Linked DNA regions of Oreochromis niloticus. The protein of the gene in region 1 purifies or fractionates together with the protein of each later gene. This does not show direct contact. Links are inferred from orthologs where the notes say so. Each region holds a gene or a part of one and is shown on either strand. Other genes may lie near its edges. The genes, in order: ss18, smarcd2, bicra and smarcd1.

Region 1 (7,815 bases):
GATTTATTAACTTATTACACGGGAAAAGATATCAGAGCGCTAATTGATCTCTGACATCATCCGAAACACCAACCTGTAAAGACTCACAAACAAGACAAAGTGCAATTGCTCTAGTCAAGGCAGCCAGGGCACCCACTCAGGAAATCCTGGCTTGGGGAGATGACTCTAAATGAAGGACTTTACCATTCACCATTATGTCTTTGGTAAGAGTCAGAGGGAACCCCCGGGGCTCTTCAGCACAGCACGGTACAACTTTTCAAAGGGCTCCAGATTAAAGTCACTGAAAGTTCCCACTGGGGTCTGAGGCCAGGATCCCATTAAGCAGCCCTACCACACCGCCGGCCATAATTGTGTCGTTGAGAATTCAGAGCAGTGGTTGCTTGATAAGCGAATTTAGGGAGAAATAAAAAAGGAGAGGCAAAAAAGGGGGTCTCGTTGGGCCACCATTAGACACTTCATTCGCTCATCACTAATTCGTTTTAAATGACTGAGGGAAAGGTGAGCACTTTATAAAGCAATCCAAGCTTCCAGCAACTCCCCACCCCCTTCCATTTTCAGGTCTGTGCAACAGAATGCTGATAAATGAAAAACGTTACACTTTATAGCCACACGCTTCACTTCTGCTAGTGGCGTTTTTAAACTGTAGTTATCTTTATCACACTACTTGCTTTGCAGTAGAATAATCAATAAAGAGAGTGAGGAAATCTTGTGCTCTTTTTCCAAGCCTCATCTTGAAGAAACCAGTCTTTGTTACTAGGAGTGTCACTTCTAATAATTTCTGTCATTTTTATACAATGGCTGTATTTAGTAGAGCAAGCTGGTATAATGGAGTGAAACAACTTTTATAATAAATCATACAAACAAGTCTGCTTTTATTGAGTATTTTGTTTCATTAAGGTTCTTTGTATCACATACAGTTTATTTTAACAGCGGGGAGTTATCAGAATTGTTTACTGAATGATAAAAAAAAAAAAAAGTGACCATATTTTAAGATCTGAACCCTAACCTGAGATCTACGACTGTGTGTCTTCGAAATAGTCAGCTCAACAGTTGGATGTATAAGAATTCTGAAGGTCTTTACAACTGGTATAGCATCTACACAATATGTGAAAATCACAAGTTATGAGTCAGTTCTTCACAATGAAATAAATGAATAAACCTTCTGAAACCTGCAAATATTTGGAACCCAAGTATGATATCATCATCATCCAAGTGCAATAAGGACAAGATTTTATACAACTGCTTTATGTGGATTTTTTCTGCTTTTTCTTCTCTGCTTCTTCTTCTTTTTCCTTTTCAATCTCAGTCACCAGGGTCTCAATTTCCTTGGATTCCAAAATCTGCAAAGAACAAAATGCAAACCCATTAGCACTTTAGTGAACTAGTAGAAAAAACATAAAGTAATATTTGCCTTGTTAATTACCTTCAGTGGCTGATTTCGTCTGATAACAGCAAGTTCAATATTTTTTCCCCCTGACTGGACAACCTGTGACCAGCAAACAAAAAAATAAAGCGAATACCGTGACCAATTCAGGAAACATTTATTACGCCAGCTAAGACCATTTACACAGAATGCATTGAAAAGAGAAAGTTATAGTTTATTTGGCAGCAGTTGGTGCTCTTTGATGAAACCATGACTGTTTAATTTCACATTATAGAAGACGTAAATACATTGAGGTCAACATATATGGAAATGCAGAAAGTAATCGTAACCTTACCTCAAGCAAAGCTTTGATGGCCAACTTGATTGCCTCATTGTCCCCAGCAATGGCTTCTTCTGTGTAATTCTTCTCCAAGAACTCTCTCACAGTTTTTGCGCTACGGCCGATTGCATTTGCCTGTTTTGGTTTTTTTTTTTTCAAAAATACATTTTTTTTTTTTTTAAGTCATTTTCATACTTGTACAAGAAACCTTTTGGACACAGAAAAATCCTACTGACCTTCCAGGCATGGTACGTTCCCGACGGGTCCGTCTGATACAGCCTGGGAGTTCCATCGTAGTCAAAGCCAACAATTAATGCAGAGATGCCAAACGGCCTGCGACCATTGCTTTGAGTATAGCGCTGCAAATACATAAAAAAAAAATGTTTTTTGACAGGTTATTCATGACTCTGTATTGAAAATGAAACGGCTAGCAAACATGGTCCACTACACAAATGCTGAAAACACTCTTGCCCACTGAAAGGAATAGCTAACATGTCTTTTTGAAGGTGTTAACAGTAAACGACTGCCCAGATGGTTCCTTACCTGTTTCAGTGTAGCTATGTAGCGTGTGATGTATTCCACTGTGACTGGGTCCTCAACTGTTAGCCTGTGGCTCTGGCACTCAACACGAGCTCTGTTTATCACAATACGAGCGTCTGCGGTCAAACCTATAAAATAATGAATGAGGCCATTCAACACATTACAAAACTACAACAAAAATATAAAAGCCAAGTACTAACACATGACACAGCTGTCTTCTACTATGCCATGTTAAATAATGAACACATTATTCAGTTATGGAAAGAAAATTGTTATCTGGGATACCTGCAAATGCCATGCAGACGTGCTCATCCAGTGCGCATATCTTGCGGACAGTTCTTTCCTCCTGCAACTTTGCAACAGATTTCTTCTCCACACCAAGGACAACAATGTCTTTACCTCTGATTCCCACCTGCATATAACAAAAAACAAACAAAAAAAAAATCAAAATATTAATATTAATTTTCTCCCATGGACTAGCAGTTGACGTGAGTAAATAATATCCAGCAAATATTCAGATCCCCAAATAAATCTACAAAGCGGATACCTCTGCATGTTTGATTTGGCAGAGTTTTAAGCTGTATGGCTCCAAATAAGTTTGTGTGTCCAGCTGTAAATGAACAATTCCCCAATAAGCTAACTAAAGAAAGTAAGTACACAATGCAAAGTATATCAGAGGGACAGCTCAGGTTGAGCAGTTTGGAGGCAAAGTTAAGATGGTTTGGACATGTGCAGAAGAGAGATACTGAATACAGTGAACAAGGGTTGTTGAGTATGGAGCTGCCAGGCAGGAGCAAACGAGGAAGAGGAAAAAGAAGATACATAAATGTAGTGAAGGTGGACATGCAGAGGGTTGGCATGACAGAAGAGGATTCTTGGGATAGGGTGAGACGAAGGCAGATAATCTGCTGTGTTGACCCCTAAAGAGAGCAGCCAAAAGAGGAATTAGAAGAGAGTGAGAACATTTTTCATTTACAACCTCAGTTATTTTCGCCAAGTAAAAATTCTGCTCAGGTCACGCATGTGGTTTTTTTTTTTGGTTTTTTTTTATTTGAGGTTTTTCTGTGGTCCACCTGTCCAAAAAGGAGCCTTCAACAAAGTAATCAGTTATCATAGCCAAGTTTACTCAACAAATCTGATTAGGACTTATTTAAGATAACTCCCAAACACATACAAGTTTTTTTTGCATTTATTTTCATATAGTAAATATAAACAGTTTGGTTTAGCCTTCATCATTCCTCAATGTCCTTTGTAATCCACTATTATGACAGCCGTTACCTCTAACCAGGGGAGCTGCGACTTAGTAGCTTTGTGAGTTTATAACTTTTGTCACTAAACCTTAACATAACTACCATTAGTTATGAGGCAACTACAGTGGCTTTTCAGTGATTTGGATGAGATATAATATGCTGAGTAAAACTCAACTTTCCAGACCAGGTAATAATCAATCATGGGTACTTGCAAACTCCTGTCAGTTAGTACCAACACAACGAAAATGAAAGTTAAGCGTGAAGAGTGACACAGCGACAAAATGCTAGCTAACGCTGACTGCTTTTTGTTTGCCATTTTCGGCATTAAAAATATGTATTACACATTTGCAAGCCAACAAGCTCGTAAAATTGCAACAAAACCTTGGTCCATAACAGAAGGTGTTAAGAGAGAAAATTGCTAAATACATAAAGGAAACCGCTAGCCGCGCGTTGATCGGCTAATCTAGCTTCACCCATGTTGCTATCGTTAGCTTTAGCATTAGTTTCATTTAAAGACTTACCGCTGTAGAACCTTTCTTTACAGCTTCCTGTGCATACTCCACTTGAAAAAGATGACCATCGGGAGAAAAGACAGTAATAGCTCTGTCATATCTTGCCGCCATTGCACCGCTAGACGCGTATTATAGCAATAAACTGGAGAAAAGGCTACCAAATGATTCAGCTTGTTAGCAACAAGCGATTCACTCCGTGTGTTGAAAAGGGCGCCTGCGCATGACCTGTGAACTGAGACGATACCAAAAGTGGAGTCCACCCGGAGGGAACTTGGGATTAAAACACAATACTCTGTATAATTTGATTGGTTCTCCGCAAAACAGAAATCGTAAAAAGTAGAATATTACACTACGAGCATATACAGTATTTTAATATCAAGTTTTATTTACTTTATATATTGAGAGAGATTTCTCCTTTCAAAACGGATGCTATAAGAGTGAATAAGAGCACATAAATCCCAGGACTGATATTAGTTATTACTACCAAAATTTATGCAATGTCATTTTAATAAGATATATATACACTAAACGCTCCGCTTTCCCCCTTTTTCCGACAGTTTATTTTTTATGGTCTTGTGGTCCAGCTCTGGACTGTTCCATTATATGAAAAATAGGTGAAATTGTAATCCAATTAAGCCAAAACGTGTATGATTTTAACTATTTAAATACATTTTCTTATATATTATGAGTTATCTGATCTTAAGCTTTACATTAATTATTCATGTATGGTCAGAACAAGCAGAAATCAGTAACTATGAGTTAAAATGTGCTACTTCGTCCCCCAAAACGGACCACCGCATTACGAAATTGCATCGTATTCTCAACTGCTTGATCTGAGTTCTACCGATTTGTTCAGTGTGTTAGCTACTTTTAACTTTTATGCTGTAGCTTACGTTAATATTCTATAGTATCACCATGTCGGTGGCATTTGCACCTCACAGGCAGCGTGGGAAGGGTGATATAACACCCGCTGGAATACAAAAGGTAATTCATCTTTTTTAGCGCGTCGCAGAATGGAGGCTGTGGCATCAAACGCGGCTAGCCGTTGAGATAATCAATGTAGCAGTGCCCATCCAAGTCCAACTGTGAGCAGCTCAGGAACAATGTTACAGGGTCAGAGCGCGGTGAATATGAACCTCCCTGGAAACGGCACTCCACGTGTGGAGTACGAGTCTTGGGTGGATTTATCGGACTAACGTATAATTGTGTTTTAGGTTAATGGAGGCCTGTGGTTTTGTTAGCAAAGCACAGCTAGCTAGCAAGACGCGTCTTTTGTTGGCTAGAAACGCACACTCACATTTTACAAAACACGACCCTTCACTGTCTTAAAATGAAGACAGAATAACATTCGGCAAGCAAATTAATTGTCACGCCAAATGACCGTGTTCGTCCGCTTTATTATTAATATTTTGGGGAGTTATAATGAGTACCACGCGTAATAGAAATCTCTGAATTTACCATTGCAGTTACTTGATGAAAACAACCAGCTGATCCAGTGCATAATGGATTTCCAGAGTAAAGGCAAAACTGCTGAGTGTTCACAGTAAGTTATTGGAGTTATTAAGTTTTAAAAATTTTTTTTTTTATAATATTTCACGTTACATTTATTTCAAGTTCCCATTGACTCAAACACTGCACTGTTCACTTGCCCAGGTATCAACAGATGCTGCACAGAAATTTAGTGTACTTGGCGACAATAGCAGACTCCAATCAGAACATGCAGTCTCTCCTCCCTGCTGTGAGTATGAATTCTTAGTGGTTGTTGTGAATGACTGAAATGTCTGACTGTCTTCTTAGATCATACCCAGTTCAAGTCACTTGGGTATTTTAGATAAATCATCAATGTTAAAAAAACATTTTTTTTGTGAGATTAAGAATTTTGAACAAAGTCATTAGTTTTTTTTTTTTCCCTGTTAGCAAAATTAAAATGAGTCTTTTGAAAACTCACTGTTATAGTGATCTGTTCAGTACAAACAGACTGCAGGATTTCTTTATGTATGAGTGCTATCTGTTGAGCTGTTGTAGCTGCCATTTAAGGATTTATTGCCAGTAGTGCTCATTCGCAAGGCTTCATTAAGTAGAATAAATATTTTGGGTGAACAAATTGAATCCTTTACTGAGAAAATCCATTCATTTCTCAGTTTGGTTAAGCTCTCAGGCACTTGTTAGTGGTGTTTAATATTGATATTATTTTTATTGGTAGTAGTATAATTATCGAGTCTGCTTATGGTTGGATTATCCATGCTCTTAATCATTCCATAACAATTACCCGTTTGAAGAACAAGGAGACTACAAGAGTCAAATATGTCAAAAACTAAAAGTACAATTTTTCTTTCAAGTCATTAAATGTAATCTTCATTAACTCAAAAGAGTGTTTATCAACTAGAACATTTATTAAACCTCAAATAAAGGTGTGCTTTTCTTGACCTTTAAATATAACCCAATTCCAATTACATGGAGAGAGAGGAAAAAAATGGTTGGCAATGTGAAGTTAGCCCGAGAAAGCCCATCTCGCAAGAGCAACTGCTAGTCACAGTGCATGCAGGCAAATGGGTATAAAGAGTCATATTATCTTGATTACCTTTGGAAGCCAAAACTTAATTCATATTAAAACTTGATCAATTACTCAGCCCTAAAGTTCCCAGCATCAACAAGAAACGCTGTGTACACCGTGTCTGAACACAGTGTAGAAATGGCCCAAAAAAGGCTTTTATTTGTAATTTATTTGACGTGCTCATCTACGCAAAACAGTTGTCGGCATCGAATAAAAAGAATTGATAAGCTTGGAGGCATAGAATTTTATTAGACTTGATTAATTCCATTAAAATCTGTTATCGATTCTCAACTGGAACTATTCTTGCATTCCCATCCCTAGTTGCAAAGAAGCACAGTGGTTACAAAAGTGATTGAAGTCACTGATTTGCTAACAATCATATAGTAAAGGAGTGAGTGTATTCTTATGAGTAAATGTTGCTGACATACCTTAAACTCAGATGATGAGTGTGGGCACATTCATTTTCTTAATATGCTGCATGGTGAGCATGTTTCTGGAGGGGTAGTCAATGACTCAAACAGCTGGGATTAGGACCAGCTGTTTAAAAGAAATGCAGACTAGAGAACAGTTTTAATTGCTGTTTTTAAGCCATGAACCTTTTAAACTGCTGCATGTATAACAGTCTTAGTTCAGGCTATTTTTTTAAGCCAGTTTTGTTCAGTTTGTTGCAACTTTGTCTATCGATGCATTTTTGTAATCATTGAAGGTTTCTAGCTGTTCCTTTTATTGAAAAACGTTTTTCCTTTTAATGTATATTAGTAGATTTTGTTCTCCTTAGATTAGTGTTCTACATCAATGCCACAATCTCTATATCAGAGTTATCATGTTTTTTTCTGGAGTTTTTATCTCAAGTGGCTCAGGTTGAGATCTGTTTTCAGAGAGATCATGTGGATTTATTTTTTTGTCTGTGTTGTGCACCTACAGCCGCCCACTCAAAATATGTCCATGGGTCCTGGTGGCATGAACCAAAGTGGCCCCCCTCCTCAGCCTCCTCACGGTCACAACATGCCCTCTGAGGGTATGGTCAGCGGTGGCCCTCCAGCCCCACATATGCAGAACCAGATGAATGGACAGATGCCTGGTATGTGTTCCCCCCCACCTTAACTTCCCTGCCTTGTCTTTCTTTTCTCTTTCTCCTTTTCCCTCAGTTCCTGTCTCACTTGGGTTGCCTAGCAACACCACAGAACTGTGAGGGAGGTCGCTCTAAGGTATCATAGGCAAACATGCTGAAGGATGATGTCACCCATTTGCCAGCT
Region 2 (7,442 bases), on another chromosome or scaffold:
GATGGCATCCCGGGGCGCTAGAGAAAAAGAGGGAAACTGATTTCACGGAACGATTTCTCCATATCTACACAAAAAGTTGAATATTTCATTTAGGACTAAAAGAAATCAAGGATCTGATTTACTAAAGAGACAGAAAAAAGTACCCATTTTAAAATAATAATAATAATAAAACCAATGATGTGTTAAGCTGTGTGCACATAAATTTCATATTGTATGATCAACTTATATCAAATTCTAGCTTTTTGGATCTGGTGAGTAAAAAGAGTGCACAGTGACATACAGTATAGTCACTTACACTGTATGCTTTTGGTTGTACCATAAATATTATGAGTCATAATAGCCCCATTAAAAACATGCCAAAAACGTAAATGCACTGTTTCTGCAGGTGGGGTTAAGTTTTTAAGTTCTATGGTTTAATTATGAAGTTGTGCATATAAAAACTGTTATGGCACTGCAGTCTTTATCTCCATCTACACAAAGCACAACCTCTTTCAACTTAAAGGTTTCACGTATCAGGATATAATGAAAAGAAATCTGGTTCTTAGCATGCTTTAAAATTTGCTAAATATAACCTTGGATGAAATACAACACATGACATATTACACTGTGTTTTTATTTATTGTTAAACAAAAAAAATAAATAGAAATGCAGAAGCAGTAAAGTAACAGCCAGATGCTGCTAATGCACTTCATCAATTTATTAGTTTCAGGAAGTGTGAACACCTCTGTAACAGCAGAGGTTTTGACAGTTTGCTGGTTTGGAGGATTCAGGTGTGTTAACACGAACACATCAGCGATAGTCCTTGAGAAGCAACTGCTGCCCATCAATCTGGAAAGCCTTATAAGGTAATTTCCAAACAATATGAATCCATCTGTCTACAGTGAGAACTATTATCCACAAATGGAAAGCATTCAAGACAGTTGCCAATCTTCCCAGGAGTGAACGTCCCAGTAAATTCACTCCAAGTTCAAACTTTGCAAGAGCTACTTCTCAGGCCTCAGTTAGCATGCTAAATGTTAAAGTTCATGGCAGCACAATTAGAAAAAAACTAAACAAGTATGGCTTGTTTGGACGGGCTTCCAGAATAAAGGCTCTCACATTTGAACAAACCACAAAACCTCTGGAGCAATGTCCTTTGGACAAGTGAGACCAAACTGGGGATATTTGGCCATAATGCTCAGCACTACATTTGGTGAAAACTAAACACAGCATAACAGCACAAACACCTCATACCAGCTGTCAAGCGCGGTGATGAAGTCAAATGCGAGGCCATATACTTGACAGCTAAAACTCGAGTGTAATGATCACAAGCACACAAACAAATCTACAACAGAACAGCTCAAGAAGAAAAGAATCAACGTGGTGTAATCACACAATCAAAGTCCTCAACCCGCGTAAAATGCTTTGGCAGGATCTTAAGAGAGCTGCACATAAACAAATGCCTGCAAATGCCAATGAACTGAAGCAATGTTGTAAAGAAGAGTGCACCAAAATTCCTCCTGTGAAGGGCTGATAAAGTCATACAGAAAAGGATTACTTCACACTGTTGCTGCTAAAAGCAGTTGAACAAGCTCCTGAATCTTGAGGCGTGCTTAGTTTTTCACACACTGCTTCTGCATTTCGGCTCAGGTTTTGTTATATAAATAATAACCCAGTGTGATGTGTTGTGCTTTGTTACACATCTGAGGGTGTATTTATTTTAAGACCTGTTACTGACTAGATTTTTTTTCTTTTTAATTATGTCTTTTTATGTAACACATCAGTACTGTAAATAATGTATCAACAAATTGTGAGAATTCTCACACTTTGTCCAGTTTGTAAACATTAAAAAAAAGTCTAAACCCAAATGGCTCCAACTGTCAAAACGGGGGTAACTGCGATGGTGTCTGTTAACTACGGGAGAAGCTGCAGATGGTGACAATACTGGCACGATGTATGCAGGCTTGCCTCTGGGCAGATGGGGCTGATAAACTTTTGCTTTCACGCTAACTGACAGGAGGCGAAGCGGGCAACCACGTGATTTTCTTTTTCACACGCGCACAAAACGCTAAACGATATCAATTTGAATTAAACGTCCCACTACTTTTATGTACCACTTCAAATGCCATAAAAGAAAAAAGGTTACACTTAATGATTGCGGTAATCAATAAATAATTACACCCACTTCGAAGGCGGAAGTAGTGTCCACACGGTGATATATATGAAGAATAATGAGCTTTATGGGGTTTTTTTTTTTATTTCCATGTCTCTCGGGTGAGTATTTCAATTAGATAATTTTATTTAAACACCAATTTAAGGCTCCAAAGTAACGAAAGGCTTAAAAAGACATGGGGGTGATCGGACAAATACCGTCACCCTCACCTTTCACTCAGTTTCTTTATTTGACACGGAGAAATCAAGCAGAACCAACCTGGGGGTATTGGGGAACGCTGCTCATGCTTCTGGGATATCCCCCCGGAGGCTGGGGCATTCCTTGCATCCTCATGCCCGCGGCATGCCCAACATTCATGGGGCTCATACTCGAATTCATCGGAGGACCAGTGAAGCTTCCCCTCGATGCCATCTTCTAGAGCCACAAGTGGTTAAAAGTGACGGAAACTTCAAACCAAATTCGGCCCAAATAAAAGTGCGGCAGGCTGAAGTCTCCAAGTAGGTAGCTAACTAACTCCGGGTACTTCTGCTTAGGTCGGTTTCTGGTTTGACAGCAAGCACACTGTCAACAAAAAGCTAGCTAACGTTAGCTCACTTCCTACCGTTTCAAGTTCCGGGATTTGCTTCTACCTAGTGACTGCTCGTTTTGTGAACACGCCAAGTGGGAGCTCTTGTCATCTCCCACTCGCGCCTTTACGACTGAACGACGCCAGATAAACGATAACTAAAAGCTAATACACTGTGAGGCGAATTAAAAACATGATAACGTCTGACTTATGACAAACTGAGTATCTTGAGCAGATAGTTTGTCTGCACTCTAAAGCAAAACCAAGTACGCTCAACTACATGTTGCGTTCACAAACATCGGAAATTAGGAAGTTCCAAATTTCAGCGCGCAATAATCTCGATTTTTTTTTTCTTTTTGAACACGTTAAAACACATGCTAGTCTGAAGTCTTTATTTCTTGTGTATTTTGTAAAAGTATATATTTTCAATTATATTTTATTTTCAACGCTTGATTTCAAATGTGACATACAGAAACTTGCGATAGATTTTGTAATAGTGTAATTTTGTTTCTTCCAAACCAAATCCTGGAGTAATACTCTGCCTCCTGAACACTAATTTTTCTTAAACAGTAATGTGCTGAATCTAGAAGTGTTGAAACGTATAGAAACATACAGGGAAATACAGGATAAAAGAAAAACGGAGGCTGTACAATTTTAGGGAGCTTGAAAGCCAATATTTGGTATGACTACATTTATTCATCAGCACAACACGAACTCTCTTAAGCAAGCTTAAATACTCTTCAGGAATAGTTCTCCAGTCTTCTTAGGGGACATTCAAAGCTCTTCTTTGTTTGGGATCACCTTCCTGCTAAAAAATTATGTCACTGCCAGTCAGACACTTTTCAGATTGCATTGCATGGTGGATCTAAATATGACGCTACTTTCCCATTCATTTTTAAAAGATCCCCTACACCATTGACTGAAACACAGCCCCAAACCTCCAGAGAGCCTCCACCATATTATACAGATGACTGTAGACACCCACTGTTCTACCCTCTACCCTGACGTCCTCTGTAGAGTCCAATTCTTGTGAAGTTTTGCATACCTCAGCCATTTCTCCCCATTTCCCTTCCTTAATAATGGCTTGTTGATAGCCAACCTTCCACTGAGGCTATTTCTGATGAGTCTTCAGTAAACAGTACATAGATCCTCTGTCAGTTTTTGTGGATTTTTTCTGTTTACTGTTCATCTGTTGTAGATATTTGTTTTAGGCTTGGCATTTTTTTTATCCTCTATTTGTCAAGTTTCTCCAAATTCTTGCACACAATACCAAATTATTCCAAGTCTTCAGCTAGTAGCTCTTTAGAAATCAGCTTGTTGCTATAACACACTCAAACTGTGTTATCTTTGGATTTTTTTGTCTAAAAAAGTGCCACTTTAAAACTGGTCCTGTGCTAAGTTATCTGGTATGTGCAGAAATAAAACTACTTCCTCCCTTGAGTTAAATGCCCCCTTTTATGCTTGAATTTAAAGAAAAAAAAACAAAACATTCTCCTGAAAATGGTCAGGTACATTGACTGAATATGAATAGGAGTGAAAAAGCAGCCCACGTCCAAAGAAAAACTTGGAAAGACTTTCAGAAAGCCTTGAGAACTATTGCTCATCAAAATCTTTTAACCTATGGGCTACATTAATGCCTGTACTGCAGAGTTTAGGAAGGCTACACAAAAACATTATCAGCTCCCCCTTGGTACAATAAACTCTGAATAAGAAGCTTGAACTGTATGAACACGGCTGTGTTTACAACATGACAGTTTTCTAAGAAAATGACCTATAACCACACTAACCAAGGCAATATTTAGGCCCACATCCAGCAACAGAAGCATGTGTACATCATCTGATCAACAGCACCCCCTGTTGGTCGGTAAGACATTAATTCTATGTACTTGGTTGCTGTTTTATACATTCACACTTTTGTTAAAATGAATGTGAAAACACAGGACAGATAACAAATCATTTATTTTGCTAGACAGATGAAACAAACTGAGCCATGATAGCAGCAATTCAACTATTAGAATATTTACACTATCACATCACACCAAGGACATATGTAACCCTTTACAATGTAAACACATGATACAAAGACATATTTCAATGCTAGAAAACAAGCAACTCTATCCACCAAAAAAAAAAAGAAAAATGAAGAAACCTGCTTTCTGCACCAAATACCTGCTTCTACACTTCAGGAGTTCATGTCCTGAACATTGTGAAACAAGTTTCCACAGGTGAACGACAGATGCTTGTCTTTTAATTCTGTTTGAGAAATTCAGACAGTGAAAGGTGAAAATAAAAGACAAACCATTAGCAATGATTGTCTTTGACATTATTATTTTTTTTTCAAAGATTGAGATTGTAAAATGTGAGGTAATATAAGGACATCCACTGTGTAATCATTTCTGTATTTTATGAAAAGAAACAAAATAATACTGTAAGCATACACCGTCTCTGAATGAATTACACCAAAGTTTACATCTGTGCAGTGAAATCATATTTGGTGAAAAGTATCAGTCGAAAATGATAACTACAGAAAATTTTCTTTTTAAAAAACAAAACAAAAAACAAAACAAAACAAGTGTTGGTACAATGATTTTCTGAATAAAAATAAATTTGTCAAGTATAAGGTTGGGAGCTCTGGACTGCTTCTGCAGAGCAGCAAACACCACAAACGTTGCCTTTAACCATCAACGTCCATTCATTTCACAACATAAAGAACCAAAGGTGAAGTGTTGTTGGTCATCCCGTGAGCGTGTCTCTGTGTGCATCTCCGCACACATGATAGTGAGAGAATGTTTGTGTTTGTGTTATTGTGAGAATGCCTCATCTTTCATCAGCATGCGCGGGCTCTCCTGGTTGTCCATGCGACGTCTGGGACCCATCATGCCTAGAGGAACAGACGCGCCATTTATTTATTCATGCTTCAATCCAGACACATAATTGATTTCAACTGGTGTTTAGTGTCTCAATCACTACACTATTACTGGTTCTAAATTATATGTGCACCAGACAATTTATTAGGTACATGTTCAACTGCTCATTAAGGCAGATATCTAACCAGCCAATCACATGGCAGCAACTACATGCATTTAGATATGTAGAGATGCTCAAGACAGCCAGCTGAAATTAAAATTGAGCCTCAGAATAGGGAAAAAAGACGATTTAAGTGCGGTTTAAAGAAAACAGAAAATATCTAATGAGCAGCAGTCGTATGGGTGAAAATGCCTCATTGACGCCAGACATCTGGAGTATGCTAATAACCACAATACAGTTAAGGTTCGCAGAAGAGCATCTCTGAACGCACATGTTTAGCCTCGAAGCAGACAGGACACAGTGGCAGAAGACCACAGCGGATGCCCTTCCTGTCAGCTAAGAACAGGAACCTAAGACACATTTCCTGACCAAATTTGGACAATAAAAGGTTGGAAAAGCATTGCCTGGTATGATGAGGCTTAGTTTTTGCTGCAACATGCGTAAAAAAAACAAGAAAGCATTGATCCATTCTGCCTTGTCTCAACTGTTCAGACTTCTGGTGTCAGTGTAAGAGTGTGGGAAATATCTTCTTGGCACACTTTGGCCGATATCAATGTGGACCAGAATCTCTGAGGAATGTTTCCAGCAGTGCGTTGAACCTGTGCCATGAAACATGAGGGCAGTTCTGTGCACAAATGGGGTTCCAACCCAGCACAAGAAAGATGTATCTAATAAAGTGGCCAGTAAGAGTATTTTGAATAATTTTTATAATATGCTAGCAGAAATTTGTAAGTTTTTTTTAATATGTCTTTTTAGTTGTAGACTGGGGGTAGCTGTAGCTCAGGTGCTAGAGCAGGTCAGCTGCTAACTGGAAGGTTGGTGGTTTGATCCCAGTCTGCTCCAGTCTGCATGCCAAATATCCTCGGGCAAGATACTAACCCAACATAGTTCCCTACAACACCCATCAGAGTGTGAATGTGTATGAATGTTAGATAGGGAGCACTTAACAGCTTAGAAAAAGTGCTTGGGTGTGATTGGGTGAATGTACAAGTTGTATAAAGCGCTTTGAATGCTCAGAGTAGAGAACCAGTCCATTTACCATAAACAAAGGTTTAACTGACAGATCAAGGGAGAAAAACCTTATGTTGCTACACTGTGAACTTTCTGAATTCTACAGAACAAAACGTTCTACCGCATACTTTGGTGTGGTAGAAATCTTATAAAGTCATGGATGTGACAAATATAGAGAAAGCAAAACAGGATACCTTTATAGCCACCACAGTCTGAAGCCAAACACCTTTAACACTTCATTATGTGACCAAATATATGGTTATGGTTTCCTGTTGAATTACGCTCATTAATAGTGGCTAATAAAATCAGCTGACGTTAACACGTCCTTGACATTTGGGACAATAAAATTCACCACTTCATTTCATTCTATTAGACATAGATTATTAGGGCATGTTGTGTCTAAAGGAGGAATTCTTGTGTAATTTTGCCCTTGAAATCACTTTCGTGAGCATACAGGTGGAAGAAGGAGCTACTTTTGGCTGCTCCCTTATTTATAAAGGGTCGCCACAGCGGGCAGCTCTGTATGCTTGGCTTGGCAGATTTCTTTTTTCTTTTTGATGCAACCTCAAAGGGATTTGTGTCTCCTCCTGCAATCGGGCTGAGGATTTCTCATTTGTTAGGCGAATTTGTAAACCACTACAGTATGGACTGTACTGACAGATAGGCGTAACCTGGAAACATAATACC
Region 3 (7,482 bases), on another chromosome or scaffold:
TTCCTGTTAATTTATTCAAGTACAACTAAACATTTAACATTTAATTACCTATCGATGTGCAACACTGATGAAGAACAGCCTATACTAGCTTACAGTATCTCTCTAAAAGCACAAAACCTTCTTATTCTGAGTGTTTTTAAACTGAACTAATGTATTATTTTACTCTTTATGACTCAAAATTTGTCAAGATACAGAAATACTTTCAATTCAAATACAGTTTAGTGTAGGGATTAAGCTGTAATGTAAAAATGGCATCACTTTACCAGGTCTAGAAATGCATTTTATTGAAAAATCACAAACATTAAAAATCTAAACATTTTTCTTGCTTCCAAAGCTATCCAGTAAGCTGGACTAACCATCATGGTCATTTGGTATCCAAAAAGACTAAGTTATATTTAAACACTCTAATTACTCTTAGGTAGTATGGGCTATATAGTTAGTTAATAACCATATTAATAAACATTTATGAAGTCCATCACATATGATATACAGAAAAGGTCAGTCGATAGTTTTTAATTTCAAAGTCCTCAATTTTCCCCTGTGTGTTTTTAACATTCAAATTATGAGTAATGACTCAAATCATTACATCACCTATCACTGTCAGATATTTCGGTGTCTTGTTAGGATAAAGCAGGCATGACGTGATAAATAACATATGAGGTCCTGAAATTATAAAATAATAATAAAGTTTACAGTTAAATACAGAAACTGATTTTCAAAAAATTAAACGTCTTTTAACACCTACACTTATCAACAACAGAAATCCCCATGTGGTAACGAACCCATAGAGAGACCAAGCAGAACTCATATTTGTTAAAATCCGAGAAAACAGCGGATGGCAATAGACAACAAACTGAAAACGCGCGGTTTTCGCTCCGCCTGCAAAGATTTCGAGAACGGGCTCTCGCCTCCCGCTGAATTTACCACAACTCAAAACACCAGCTGTGCCTTTCGTTTCCAACAACACGAAAATAACATCTCAAATCAGCTTCCACAAGTTTACCGAGACCAATAAAGCGACCGTACACCCAGTTGCCGCTCTGAAGCAGCAGCAGATCGTAGCCATTGCTCAGTTAGAGCGCAGCTAGTACGCAGGATATGAATGGAGTCACTGCAAGCGGCTTGCTACATGCTAGCTAGTGTTTTCAAAAAGCTTTGCATGTATATTTCGCTTATTACTCACAACACGGAGTATTTTGTAGCCACACTGCGGACTTAAGACTCTAATTTAACAAAACGTTTAATTTTAAACCACTGTTTTGCCTCTATTTTCAGTCATTTTAACGCATCTGGGTTGACTTTCGTTAGCCTAGCTAGCTAACCAGCTAAGCCAACAAGCTATCAACAATATTGAGACGTACAGCTAGCTTGAGGCTTTGACATTCAAAACAAACCAGCGAGTGACACAATTTTAACACTCCTACTGCACAACGATGCCTCGATTTGACAAAGGCAAGGCAGTATTGTCTGCTTTGAAGCGTAAATGCAATTGCGTAGCTAGCTATCTCTCCTTGTAAGCAAAATATGAGTTAATGTTGGAATACTCTTGGATGAGGGGGGTATGCTTGGGAATTCGGTGGAAAATGAGCATGTTCGCCGGTTCGTGCGGCAGCGTGGCGCTTCGATTGCGGTAGCCGTGCAGTTCGCGGCTCGCGTGCAGTTCGCGAATATTGCAGCTTTGTAACAGTTTTTTGGATTAATAGAGAAATTGCTACATTGTAACAAACTCACCCGAGACGATAGAGGTGCAGGCAGCGCGGGGTCTCCAGGACAGCCTCGCACGGGCTGCTGTACAGGACCCAACTACAAGGCAGGAAACAGGAGACTTCCGGTTTGCCTGATTGAAATCTATTCCTCCTGCGTGTACCGTGGCAGAACTTTTCTTTCGACGTGCTTAGCAAAGTTTTTCGTACATTTAAACACCTTTCTCAGTAAATTTGTGGGGCTGTTTTTGTTCGTAAACCTGAAGTCTGAAGTCTTTTTTTAGGAAAAACGACTGGAGATTTGCAGCTGATATCGCGCGAAAAGCTAACCCTTGATGTTTAAAAACGAAGTAAATAGCACATACCTGGAAACGTCTAGGCCTGATAAGGCACATCCCTGATACAGTAGCAGGGCACTACTAAAAATTACTAATTTGTGCATCCTTTAATATAAAATAACTGAAGTTATGCATTGCTTTTCACTACTAATTATTTGTGTCCTCTAAAACTTCGTCTTGTAACTCCCTTATTCTAATGTACCTCCATTTAGGTATTTGTGGGTAAGTATAATTGGATTATAATTTCAAATAAAATACATTAAAATTAAATTTTTGCTACAGGGGGATTAGTCACAGACTATGCTATAAAGTGTTTATCAGTCAAAGTAGCCTAGTACAGCTCACAAAGCAAGCAGAAATAGTGTACCAGTTTACACAACAAATCTGATATGAATTATTTGTCTGATAATCAATATTCATATATACAACTAGGATACTACAGTTATACTGAAAAGCGATAAGGCATATTGTAGCATGTTAACTTTCCAAACAATGTTTAGTGTTCTGCCAACACCTGCTAATCAGGTTTGCTCACCTGGTCAATGTGGTGACCCTGAAGTATGCTGTTCAGCATTATAGTGTGCAAACGTTTCTATATGGTCCATATCAATAATATTGTTTGAGCACTGCTAAACAGAGCCAAAAGTAATTGCAAAAACACAAAAAAGACACAAATCACATGAGTAATCATGTCAGGAGAATTTGTCACAAGCTGCTACAAATAAAACCACAACTATCACTATTTTTTAACACTCCTTTTGCATGGAAATGAAGGAAAATAAAAGGAAATGAAGAGTTATTCCTCAGTGTGTGGTCACTTCTTTTCAGATTGTATGCCCCTAGAAAATAACCTCAACTCTGTTACAACTTGATGGCAGTTGCTGACTGGTTACGCTGAGAAGACATGCATGCAGTGCACTCGAATTTGTGGGGAACAGTTAACTGTTTTTATTTTTACTTGTTTTACTTAATTACTCATTACCACCATAATAATTATGGTTTTTTTTATTCATGTATTAGTTTATTTTTCTAAATAAGCCTTGATTGTCTTACTGTGTAGTAAAATTGTCAGGTGTGTGTGTGTTTGTGGGGGTAAGAGGGTGGTGTTAATTGCTTTGTGTATGTTGAACTGTTTGATTGTTCTTTGTTAAAACTTTTTTAAAACATATTTAAGAAATCAGTGGTATATGCAAACCATGAGAAGTACCACATGATATCACTTTAACACTTTAGTGTGTTAATAAAAATTAACATGTAATGTTACATGCAGTTCTAATGAACTGACTATCCATCCATCGATTTATTTTTAGGCTGGTCACAAACCAAGAACCATTGTGCTGGATATTATAGCTTGTTGATGTAACTATTTGTGATTACATATGCATATTTTGTATTCATACTGTATGTTTGAGTTATAGTCAAAAGAGAAAATGAAGGAGGCTATTTAATACATTTTTAGGGTTGTGTTTTATGAATAGAAATTTACTGTTATGACACCACTTAACTTTACAGCAGTCTCTGTACAGCTGTGATGTATTCTCCTTTACATTAATGATGATTAGAAACACTAGATGTAGTTGTTAGCTGGTTAGCTGGATAGACTATGGAATAATCCAGTTCTAGATTTTCATACCAGCTCATACCAGACAATAAACAGATATTCCAAAGTTAGAAAAAGGAAAGCTCAGTTTACTGAAACAAAGTCAATAACTACACTAAAACCATACGAAGATTTAAATGTAACTTTAAAAAAAAAAAAAACTTCTAACGGTTACCAGATATGACTAATATACTGGATAGCAAAAGAGTACTTGAATGCACCAGCAGCAACAGTAGTGCGTCGGTGCTCCTGTGTCACGTGACAGAGGTGATGGTTACTTTGCGGCTGGTGATGTGACAAGGTTAGCCTGCAGCCACTAGCAGTGGTTAGCGAGTTTGTTGACTTTTACATTTATTCGTTCTATCTCAGAAACAGAACGATTGCCTGAAAATGGATAACAGCGGAAAAGAAAAGGAAGCAAATGCTTTGATGGCCGAGGCTGAAAAGAAAATGAAATCGTCTCAGTCGTTTTTTGGAGCGTTGTTTGGGTGAGTCTGTCAGCTAGCTAACGTTAACGTTTGGCTAAAGGAGACAGCTATGCGGAAGGTTGGGAGCTGACCACAAGGGTTAAAAGCCAGGACAAAACGATTTTAAATAACTGTTGATTGCCTTTATAAGTTGTAGTTACTATTATGCGGTTATTTTCAAGGCTGTCGTTTAGCATAGCTACCTTTTCTCGGCTCGTCGTATAACTGGAAAGCGTTTAGTGTGAAAGATAGCTGGAAATAGTCGGTACATGCTCATTTTAGACTCCGCTTTAAGGCAGCTTTCATGCTAGAAATAGATTCAGTTGAACCCAAAGCTGAATTGTTTAACATTTTAAGATAATTTCACTTAATTGTAAAGGCAGCGCCTCCCCTATAGCGCCGTCTGTTGGGCAGTTTTCGGAAGGCCACTCAGTCCAAATCACGTGTCATTCACATTTGTTTACAGCAAAAGAAGAAAACGTACTTGTGATGTAGCGAAAGTGCATGTAAGACTAGCTCTCACTAACCTGTACAACGGGCTTTGCATATAACAACCTAAATGCAGGTTAATTTTTCAGGTTGGATTTTTTTCTTTTATTGTAGCAGGAGCTCACGTGCAAGGTTAAAGGCTATGTGTTATGTATGAGGCTGTAAAATCCGCGAGGGGTTTGTGGCGAAACTTGAAAATGTAATTGTCAAGATAGTTGTGTGTGGGTAATGGGACTGAAATCACAAGCAGAGTCAACACTTTTATATTTCTACTAATAAACGGTTTTACAAACCTTTCCTCACTATAAAATAGTAACTTAAAGAAAGTTTAAAGGATTGCACACTGAAGGCAAACATGGTCTTTTGGCGTCACTCAATGAAAAATCAGTGAGTGCCGGCTGGGAAAAGGACCGCTATAACTTGTTTCGACCAGTGACTTATTTATAAAAAAAAAAAAAAAAAGTAGATCAAATATTTCGCATGCCAATCCTTGTTCCTCTTCCTCTATGTTATAGGCATTCAGTTGAGGCAGTTGTACTATTTAAATTATAACATATCCCATAATCATTATGAGCAAAAATTAGATTTTGGCTTTAGATTGTGAGACTTGGGTGTGAGAGTGGGTTTCAAAATTGATTTGGTCGCTGTTTTGAAACGGACTTAAATATGTTTGTCAGCCCTGAAAATTTCAGAAGGCGGGCTTCTGTACATGTGAAGTAATGAGAAAAAAAATAATAAAAGGAATAAAGTTTTGACCCATTGCTTTTAAAATATTCATAATATGGTGCTAAAATTTTGCATGTAAGTATACTAAAAAGAAAAAAAAATCAGCTGATTATACATCTTTCCAAAGGGATTTTACCGAGTGAAGTGTTTATATCATCCCGTGATAATCTGCAATGGATGGATGTCTTATTAAGAAAAAAAAAACATGTTTTGTCACACAGTGGCTCCTCAAAGCTGGAAGAAGCCTGTGACATGTTGGTGAGGGCAGCCAACATGTACAAAATGGCCAAGAATTGGTGTGGTAAGATGATTGTCACATTTCAACACAACAAATGTATTGAATGCCTCTTTCTTTTTTTCCTATGTGCTTCAGTGATTTTAAAATGCAACAATTTATCTTCTTAATAGCTGCAGGAAATGCATTCTCCCAAGCTGCTCACCTTCACCTGCAGATGCAAAGCAAACACGATGCAGCAACCAACTTCATAGATGCTGGAAATGCCTTCAAAAAAGCAGATCCACAAGGTAAACTATACACATCACTTTGGGGTATATAATATAGATGAAGTACACTTGTAAGTTTTACACCTTTTCATATAAAAGCTTTAGATAATGAAAGTGAAAATGGTTTAAAAATGTTATTAAATCTTTTATTTACTTTATTAAATCTTTAACGTCATACAAATGCTATAAACAGTGAAATTCCTGATTAGTGAGAGCATGTTTGAGGTACTCTTTGAGTACTTCAGTACTGTTGAGGTTTCATTCCTTCTGCTCCACGTGTCCTTCCATAAACTGAGGTGTCTGATGAGTCATTTGATTATTATGATATTACTCATCGAGTTTAAGCTGCTTCACCTGACAAACCTGCAGGACTGGCTGCAGATAAGAGAGTAATCATGTCAGGAGAATGATAATTTTGATAAATCCTAATTTGATTTAATTATTTAATGAGCACCCATCTATCTGCTGTTTATTTATCACATGACAGCTGCACATAAGTTCTGCATCAATAAAAGAAAAGCGGAAAAGAATTTGAGTAAATTTTATTTTATTTTTTTTGTTTTTTTTAAAAATTAATCTCATTATTTCATTTTAGCTGCTATGATTTAGAGATATTAAAAGAGTGCCACCACGTGGCATTAAAAACTTGACGTACGATACTTCATAGTCGTGAGTAGTGCAGTGAGTTTGTCTGTAAGCCTTTAAATGAGACTTAAATATCAGCATTCTAAAGTTTTCCTTGTGCTTTGATGCCAATTTTTGTACTGCTGAAAACAGGGCGTTATGAAAGTGCAGGCATTAATTAATATTAATAATAATAATTCAGTGTCCTATCTAACAACCCACAGGGCAGTGGCTAAGAGTTTAATGAAAAAAAGTTTTTTATTTTTAACTATTAATGCAGTTTCATTAACACAGTATTGTATATTATTTCACTTTCAGTCTGAAAAATGTTACAAAAGCCATGAAATAAATATGGTCTAGTACACCCCATTCCCCAGTTTAGACTCTCCCTGTTACTGCAGATTTTTCACCATGTAAAACAAACGGCAGTGGATGGAGCAGCTACAAAGTTTGCTTTTCTTCATGTCACAGTTTGTTAATCAGGTGCTTTGATGAAGGACTCTTTCCAGACATTTTCCAGTAAAGGTTTTAATGTCGATTACTGGAACAGCGCTTACTAGAATACTAGAAACACATTTTCTTTGACTCCACCTGAGAGCTCATCATCTCTGTAATGATGCTGCCTCTTTTTTGCAGTGTGTGAACGGACTCAGGCTCCATGTTAAACGGTGCTAGCATCAGTGCTGCTGTTGTGTTATCAGTCTTTTCATCATAAAACTGGGGACTGCGTAGGTTTAGTGTTAAATTTCATATTCACTCTGCCCCTAAATACATTTGTATAGCAGGTCTTTTTTTTAGTTGCAAATGTGGGTGAAACACTTGTGTTCGGGTTTACATGGTGACGAATAGAGCTGTACATTAAATTAGGCATTGAAATTGTTGAATTTGTGTTAAGGATTTTTTATTTTATTTTTTTTAACAATCAAATTATTCGAATTACCCGATGAATCGTTGCGGTCCTGCATCATAGTACACATTTCATAGCCCATCTTGTTCCTGTGTGGGGTTGTTGTCATTGGGTAGAATGAATT
Region 4 (7,223 bases), on another chromosome or scaffold:
GCGTCACTCTTTTTACCCTTTATTCATTTGTAATCTTATATTTAACACTCAATAGGTCAAGTATAAAGACCCCTCACTCATGATAAAAAGGATATGGATAGATTTGTATCTTTGTATCTCTACACCTGAACAAGGTGTAAACTGGCACACATTGATGTATTTTTAATCTCTTAAACCCTGTAAAATAAAGGCCTTTTTATATAGACTTATCTAACCTACCTGAATTTCTGGTCTTGGATTTTTTAGGCCATTTTTGGCAACATTACTCAGAACATCTTTATTGATCCCCATATTAAGAGCAGTGGGAAGTCACAGAGGGCCAATAGCATTGGTGAAGGGCACAATTCTGAGAGATTTCATTTATTTTTCATGGTAGGAAATATCTGACCTCAGAACATACAAACTCAAAGCACAAGGCTTTTATCCTAGGCTCAAACCCAGCCACTCTTACTCATTTGTGCCTGATGTATTTAGTCCACAAAAAAAGACATTGAAAAACATTTGAAAAAAAATGAATAGTTTCCTAAGAAATATCTTAAAATTACATCCCTTTTTCTCCCACATTAAAGGCATGATGTGATGTGTCATATTTTTCTTTTCTGCCTATCCCAAGATGTTTCCTGCTTCACCCAAAGGCCCACTGTCATTACACTGCTTCAGAGCCAACAACACTTGAGTCAACTACTCTGAGGGCAGACTTGGGAGGCCCAGTGGTGAAGGACACTATTGCTGTCTTGTCCTTGAATATTTTAAGATTAATAATCCATACTGATTTATTTCTAGGCCAGTTATGATGTCAATAATTCATTACTGGTACCAAAACAGTTTTAGATTTTTCATTAATTATTCTACACAAAAAAGGAAAGCATCAGAGGCTGAGGTACTTCAAATGTTTCATTTTTTGCATCAGTCATTTAATGAAATCGGTAGGATGATGGACAAAAGCATAAAGAGCCATCTTCAACTACAAGAAGAACCATGAGTCCTGCCTTTCACAGCAGTATCAGCTTGATATGGCTTGAGACCACCAAAGAACAGCAGCAAGTTCTCCAAGATCATAGAAAAGCATTTTGAAAGTCCTTTTAAAGGACAGGGATGGTCACACTAAATACTTCTCTCATTGCAGTCTGCTGCACTTTGCATGATGAATGATGACGTTAACTGATAAATAAAAACTACTTCCTTCATTATTTTGAAAGCATCCAGCATTTCCTTTTAATGGCTACGACTCAGTCATGGCGGTATATTCCTTCCAAATGTCTCTCTACGAGGGCCTCGCATGCTGTTTTGTTTGGTTTTAATCCATTTTGCAGTCCCTGGCAGACAGATTGACTGGATGGCATACCAAACAAGACAGAGTTAACCTTTGTTTAACTTTTACAAACCCAGACAGAGTTGTTTGTTTTGGTTTACTGCACATTGCATCCATAGATCTGGTTTTTAGTCACCAGTCAGCCTGGAGAGATATCAGACGCTGAATATAATTAAGTTTATTCATTTGGTTAGAGGGACAATGAATTTTAATTACAGTTCTGAAAAAAGAGAGATAAGCAAAAGGCTAATTTTCATAGTCACTGAGCCCGTATTGCCAATAATTTATCAAAGATTGAAAGAAGAAAATGCAATCAGATTATGATAAAAGGTGCCAATGCTCCACTGTTAATTTAGTTAATTAACAGTTTCATTATCTTCATTTCATTTTCATTTCAAGATTACTTGTCAGATACTGACTTATGCTATTTTTTCTTGTGTTTCATACTTCATGTTAGCACTTGTTTAATTAAAGAATAAAATGAAGGAGCAACACACAAACACAATAATGTTTCTGGATTTAGTTTTATTTCATTTATAACCTTCCTTAATTTAAGAAAGGCTGTGATTTCCCTTCATGTTCAGTGAAATTAAGTTAAAGTAATTACTTTTAAACAAGTGCCAAAGTACTAAATTGAGGTACACAAGGTTTATCTTTACAAGCACCTATATTTATCTGTCATATTTCGGTACTTAATAATTACACAATTTCATATGCACTTTAATTTAGAGCAAAAAAACTTTAAAGGTGTCACTTTGGACTCGAGATAATTACGGTGAAAGAAAAATAGAGCCAAATTACAGAGCCAGAGGCAGACAGGTACAGTTCTGTGAAAAAGAACATTTTTCACAGGACTCTATGCACTCCTGTGAAAAATGAGTACACGCTTAATGCTTCCATTAAAATTATATTAGCAGCCAGGAATTAAAAAGGTAAGTGGCAGCCAGGTATTGATAATCAACAAATCATCACCAAATGTGAGAACCTCTATAAAAGCAGACGTTTTGGCAGGTTGCTGGTCTGGAGCATTTAGGTCTGTGTTTACACTATCCCACAATCTTCCCAGGACTGGATATCCCAGCAAAGTCACCCAAAGACCACATCATGCAGTGGTAAGAAAAACTTCAAAGAACGCAAAAACATGAGATACTTATTAAACTCAACAGATATTTCCTACTTCATGGCAGTATAACTAGATATAGACTGAAAAACTATGGCTTGGTTGGAAGGACTGGAAGGAGATAGTCTCTTCTCTCTAAAAACATAGCAGCACGGTTTAGGATTGCAAACTTGCAGCTGAGCAAGCCTCATGACTTCTGGAGCAATGTCCATTAGACAGACAAGTTCAAAGTGGAGCTGTCTGGCCATAATACACAACACTGCGTTTGGCGAAAACCAAACACAGGATATCAGCTCACACACCTCACATCAACCGTCAAAGCACAAGCTTACAGACCTTGGAGTTACTGAGTCGACCATGAACCAAAGTGTTTTAGAGCCAGATGTGAGGTCATCTGTTCAACACCTGAAGTTTGGTTGAAATCGGATCGTCCAAAATGACAATTATACCAAGCTCACCAACAAATCTACAATGGCTGAAAAAGAAAAGACTCAAGGTGCTGCAATGGGCTAGTCGAAGTTTAGACATCCAACTGAAATGCCTGCAAGCCTAAATGAACTTAAGCAGAATTCTAAAGAGATAAGAATATTAAAGACAAGTGGGACAAGTTTCCTCCACAACAACATGAGAGACTGATAAAATCATAAAGAAAACAATTACTTTAAGCTATTGATGCAAAAGGATCTAAAAGCTATCAAGTCACAGGATGCATTTAGTTTTTACAGGTCTGTATTTAGACCAGTAAAAACTTTTACTTTTACATGACTGTAAAACAAACTTGCAGCTTAGTAAGGTCAGTACCAAAGCAAAACACAAGGAAGGCTAACAAGATAAAGACAAAAAGGTCAGTCAAAAATCTAGGTTAACTTGCTGAGGTCAAAAAAACAGGCAGAGTGCACATAGACAGTCCAAGGCATGGATGAACAGGTAAGTGGAGACCTGGGGAAGATTAGGTGATGCTTCTTCTTGAAACTTTTTGCATTCCCTCTTTCACTACATCCATGAATGTTCTCTGTGGTCTTCCTCTCTTCCCTCTGCCTGGTAGCTCCATCTTTAACATTATTTGTCCAATGTAACCACTATCCTTCCTCTGCATATGACAGCTTTGCCTCTCTAACTTTGTCTCAATCTGAGCTGTACCTCCTAAATACTTATTTTTAAACTTGTCCATCCTGGTGACTGCAACAGTCTCCATACCATTCATCATCTCAGATCTCAATACCATTTTAAAAGCTTTCCCATTCGCTCTTGCTGCTATCCTTCTGTCACGAATCACCCTGATACTTGTCTCCACACACTCCATCCTGGCTACACTCTCGTCTTCACCTTTTTTGTTCACTGCCCATGGCTTTGGGGATGATGTTAAATTTATTAATTAAAAATGAATTACCACATTACCTAACTAAAATATCCATTAATTGTAGTCCAGTAGCATATTGTAGCAAAAAAAACGTATCCATCTACAACAGTAATATCCTGGTCAATCCTGCTTTTTAAGTAATTATACTCTAACAGATGTAACATAAAACAAATATTTTGCGTAATAGCACAACTGAAGTGAGTACTCTTAATACCTTAAGTACATGTTCATGATTATAGTTAGAAACTTTTACATAACTAGTATTTTTTAAAGAACTTATATGGAGTAATGGAGTATATTTACAGTACTTTTGTAACGTTGAACGAGGACCTATTCCGCCGTCATCGTCACCAGGTCTAATTTTGCTGTAGTACCACCAACAAACAGGGGAGGGCGTCTTGAACCTGTGACGTCCATCCCAACACTCGTTCTCGCTCTCGCGGTAGCTCCGCGCCTACACCGGCAGCGACATTCAGAGAGGAGATGGCGGCCAGAGGGGGGTTTCAGTCGGCACCGACGGGTGGTGGTGGAGCAATGGGACCTGGACCACCGGTACCGGGTGCAGGACCAGGCATGGGACCAGGAACACCTTCTGGAAGAATGGGACCATCGGCTGCCGCGCAGAACCACATGTACCGCTCACCGATGCCCGGGCCTGGGTACCCGGTAAGATATCGCTCTATCTTTGCTGCTGACGCGTTAGCGAGTCCGCTAGAACAAAGCCTCGCTCCGCTTGCTTTGTCCCTAGTGGCTAGCATTAACCCCCTTCACCACCGTAGGCCACAGCTCATACTAACTAGCAGCCCGGTTCAAAACTGGTGATGCATTTGAAATATTTCACCAGTCGCTGTGGATGACCATCAGAGTTTGTTTGTTGTTTGAATTTGCTAACCCTCCCGCCTGCTAACATTAAGGTTAGCTAGCTAATCGCAGCATCCAGTTAGCTTAGCCTGCTAACCCCGCTAACTGTTAACTGTATTTCGGCCAGTTTTCTTATCAAAAAGACCCAAAATGTGCACCGTGTAGTTTGTAAACATAACAATTAAACCATCCTTTAAGTTTTAGAAGTTGTAGTTTGTGAAGTTCAGGCTCGGTTCGAACTCAGAAGTTGTTATAAGTCGAGCCTACTTTTGAATGAATCGGCTGCATCAATATGAGTTTGTGTCAATGCAAATTTACAACCTACCTACAGAAACACTGATTAAGGAGAGGTGCCAGTCAGTAGCAGACTTCACTCTTTGTTTAGCTGGTGCAGTTTGTCTCGTCGAAGTTGGTGTTTTACAACTTGTAAAGTCTAACATCAGTGTGTCTATGTTTAGTGAGCTCACTGTTACTTGGCTGGTCTGCCGCAAAGTACACCAAGTACCAAGAAACGCTGGGATCTCAGCGTGAACTCACTACGCATCTAAACTGCTGGAAGGATGTTTAGTTAATTTTGAGTCTTATAAGCTGATATTTTCTGATCTTCAAATCAGATTACAGCGGTTAGTCCATTGGTCACAATTAATAATAATAATAATCACATGATTAATCTACAGTCGTTTCTCACATTTGAAATATAAAATAATTTACACAATCTATTAACATTTACACAGTGCAGAATTGATTTGAAAACACATTAACATTGTCCACCAGCAGCATTGGTAAACTAATCTTATTTGCCAGTATACCATCAACAAACTGGATATACAGTAACTGGTCGGTTGGTTGTTTGTCAGTCTCAGAAAGGGGAAAGTTGCCTCACAAACATTTGTCCAAATAGTCGAAAATTTACTTACGGACCTGCAGGTGATACACACATATTAAACACAATTTAACAGTAGTCTATGATCCCCTAAATTGCAGAGATACTCAGAGTAATTATGCAGTAAAATAGATAGAAAAACAGATGTCCAAAGGAGACAATTTCTACAAATTGTCACAATGAATACACAATAAAACCATGGTGCGTTCACCCTCAGCCACTAGTTATCTTGTTTGTTTTTTTAAGATTTGTGCTGTTTCAAGATATTGTGATAATATTTTGATTTATAGCACTTTTACATAGGTGGGTCCTCATACTCATTTGATTATATTAGTTAGGAAACTTGATGTTTTGGTCTCAGGTAGAAGAAAAAAACATAATTTTGAGTTTTAGTGATTTCCTGTCAGATTAAACATTTCCAGAATCCCATCCACATTCGCTGTGTTGCTCGTGTTTGGTCTAAAGTAGATGTTTCAGGCTCTGGTTGCCTTGGTAATACTGTAATTTATTTACCAACCTGTCTTATGTCAGTCAGCGGTATCAATGACGGCAGCTTGGAAAACGTCCTTCACTTTGTTTGCACTATTAAATGTTGCTGCTTGCAAGCTAAAGTCACCAATACAACGTTGTTTTTTCCCCTGTATCGCTGTAAATATAATCACAATTTTCCCTCAAATATTGTGATATAACTTTGAGGCTAATATCACCGACTCTGACTGTAATGGGAGAAGAATGAATATGGGGAACTGTGAAGGTGAACGCAAAGTGCACCTTCACAGTTGCCTGACTCTGAACCACGAAATAGTCTGATATAGACCAACTGTTTCAACTCTGGACGGTGATGTTGATTAGGTTGCCGAATATTTTTGTATGTCGAGGGTGGAAATCCCTGGAATATAATTTTTAAAAACCTCCCTTTAATACATATAGAGATGCACAGCTCACAGATGCACAGAAAATAAAAGAAAAAAAGTTTAAGCAGGTAAAATGACATCAGCTCATTTTCTATCTTGAAATCCCACACTATATTAATATGGAGATACTGATCATTTCAGAAGTTTAACTGCAAGGTAGAAGATGCTGCCAATTTCTCCTTCTAGTTCTTATGTAACAGAATCAAGGTCCACGATGACTGCTGAGATTTAAAGGTGAGCTCCCTTTGGCTGAAGAAACTGAAATCTTTCATTTGCTTTCACATCCTGCAACACATCGTTCTGCACAGTGGGGACTCAAGAAAATGACCAAGAAGCAAACATTTTCAGTAAATCAGGACTTCAGACTCTAAATGTTTTCAAATGAATGGACTTTAAAGCTGATTGTGTGCTCCAGCGATATACTGCGTGCATGCTCCATTACTATATTTGATCAGAACTCTTTGGTTTCTTGGTCTTATTATCCCATGCATGCTCTTGCATTCATATTTAGTATCAGAGTATAAATTTTCATATCCTGATCTGTAGTCCTGGGTTTATTCCCCCGATATTGCATTGGATTGAGTCATCTCCAGCTAATATGTTATGTCTTAAGATAAGAGAATTGTATTAAAATCAAGATATAAACGATGAGTCATTTATCACTGATCCACAGCTGAAGTGTTTGCTTCTTAGCTACTACCAACCTGAAAGACAGCTCAGTAAATGGTTGTCACATATTTTTTCTCTTCCAACGTCCTTGGCAGCCTTTCACA

Evidence for each region.
Region 2: the proteins of ss18 (region 1) and smarcd2 purify together in Homo sapiens (affinity purification with mass spectrometry; 4 studies listed by BioGRID and IntAct, counting the BioPlex papers as one, with this or other methods). This does not show direct contact. The link is inferred for Oreochromis niloticus from reciprocal best matches to the Homo sapiens genes SS18 and SMARCD2.
Region 3: the proteins of ss18 (region 1) and bicra purify together in Homo sapiens (affinity purification with mass spectrometry; 3 studies listed by BioGRID and IntAct, counting the BioPlex papers as one, with this or other methods). This does not show direct contact. The link is inferred for Oreochromis niloticus from reciprocal best matches to the Homo sapiens genes SS18 and BICRA.
Region 4: the proteins of ss18 (region 1) and smarcd1 purify together in Homo sapiens (affinity purification with mass spectrometry; 5 studies listed by BioGRID and IntAct, counting the BioPlex papers as one, with this or other methods). This does not show direct contact. The link is inferred for Oreochromis niloticus from reciprocal best matches to the Homo sapiens genes SS18 and SMARCD1.

The regions. Positions count from the first base shown.
Region 1 is NC_031982.2:17,086,547-17,094,361, reverse strand, and holds the start of ss18 (protein SSXT), read left to right. Parts: upstream 1-4,801; 5' UTR 4,802-4,920; coding exon 4,921-4,989; intron 4,990-5,036; exon of another isoform or gene 5,037-5,118; intron 5,119-5,471; coding exon 5,472-5,548; intron 5,549-5,658; coding exon 5,659-5,743; intron 5,744-7,483; coding exon 7,484-7,640; intron 7,641-7,815. Other genes in the region: psma8 (proteasome subunit alpha-type 8), read right to left, coding at 1,245-1,340, 1,424-1,486, 1,719-1,838, 1,940-2,062, 2,247-2,371, 2,529-2,655, 4,015-4,116. UniProt on the Homo sapiens protein: Appears to function synergistically with RBM14 as a transcriptional coactivator. Isoform 1 and isoform 2 function in nuclear receptor coactivation. Isoform 1 and isoform 2 function in general transcriptional coactivation.
Region 2 is NC_031973.2:15,815,139-15,822,580, forward strand, and holds the start of smarcd2 (SWI/SNF-related matrix-associated actin-dependent regulator of chromatin subfamily D member 2), read right to left. Parts: upstream 3,008-7,442; 5' UTR 2,564-3,007; coding exon 2,411-2,563; intron 18-2,410; coding exon 1-17. Other genes in the region: atxn7l3b (ataxin-7-like protein 3), read right to left, coding at 5,519-5,598. UniProt on the Homo sapiens protein: Involved in transcriptional activation and repression of select genes by chromatin remodeling (alteration of DNA-nucleosome topology).
Region 3 is NC_031979.2:33,407,470-33,414,951, forward strand, and holds the start of bicra (BRD4-interacting chromatin-remodeling complex-associated protein), read right to left. Parts: upstream 3,009-7,482; 5' UTR 1,732-3,008; intron 1-1,731. Other genes in the region: napab (N-ethylmaleimide-sensitive factor attachment protein, alpha b), read left to right, coding at 4,032-4,129, 5,545-5,624, 5,732-5,848. UniProt on the Homo sapiens protein: Component of SWI/SNF chromatin remodeling subcomplex GBAF that carries out key enzymatic activities, changing chromatin structure by altering DNA-histone contacts within a nucleosome in an ATP-dependent manner.
Region 4 is NC_031970.2:8,062,213-8,069,435, forward strand, and holds the start of smarcd1 (SWI/SNF-related matrix-associated actin-dependent regulator of chromatin subfamily D member 1), read left to right. Parts: upstream 1-4,222; 5' UTR 4,223-4,275; coding exon 4,276-4,458; intron 4,459-7,223. UniProt on the Homo sapiens protein: Involved in transcriptional activation and repression of select genes by chromatin remodeling (alteration of DNA-nucleosome topology).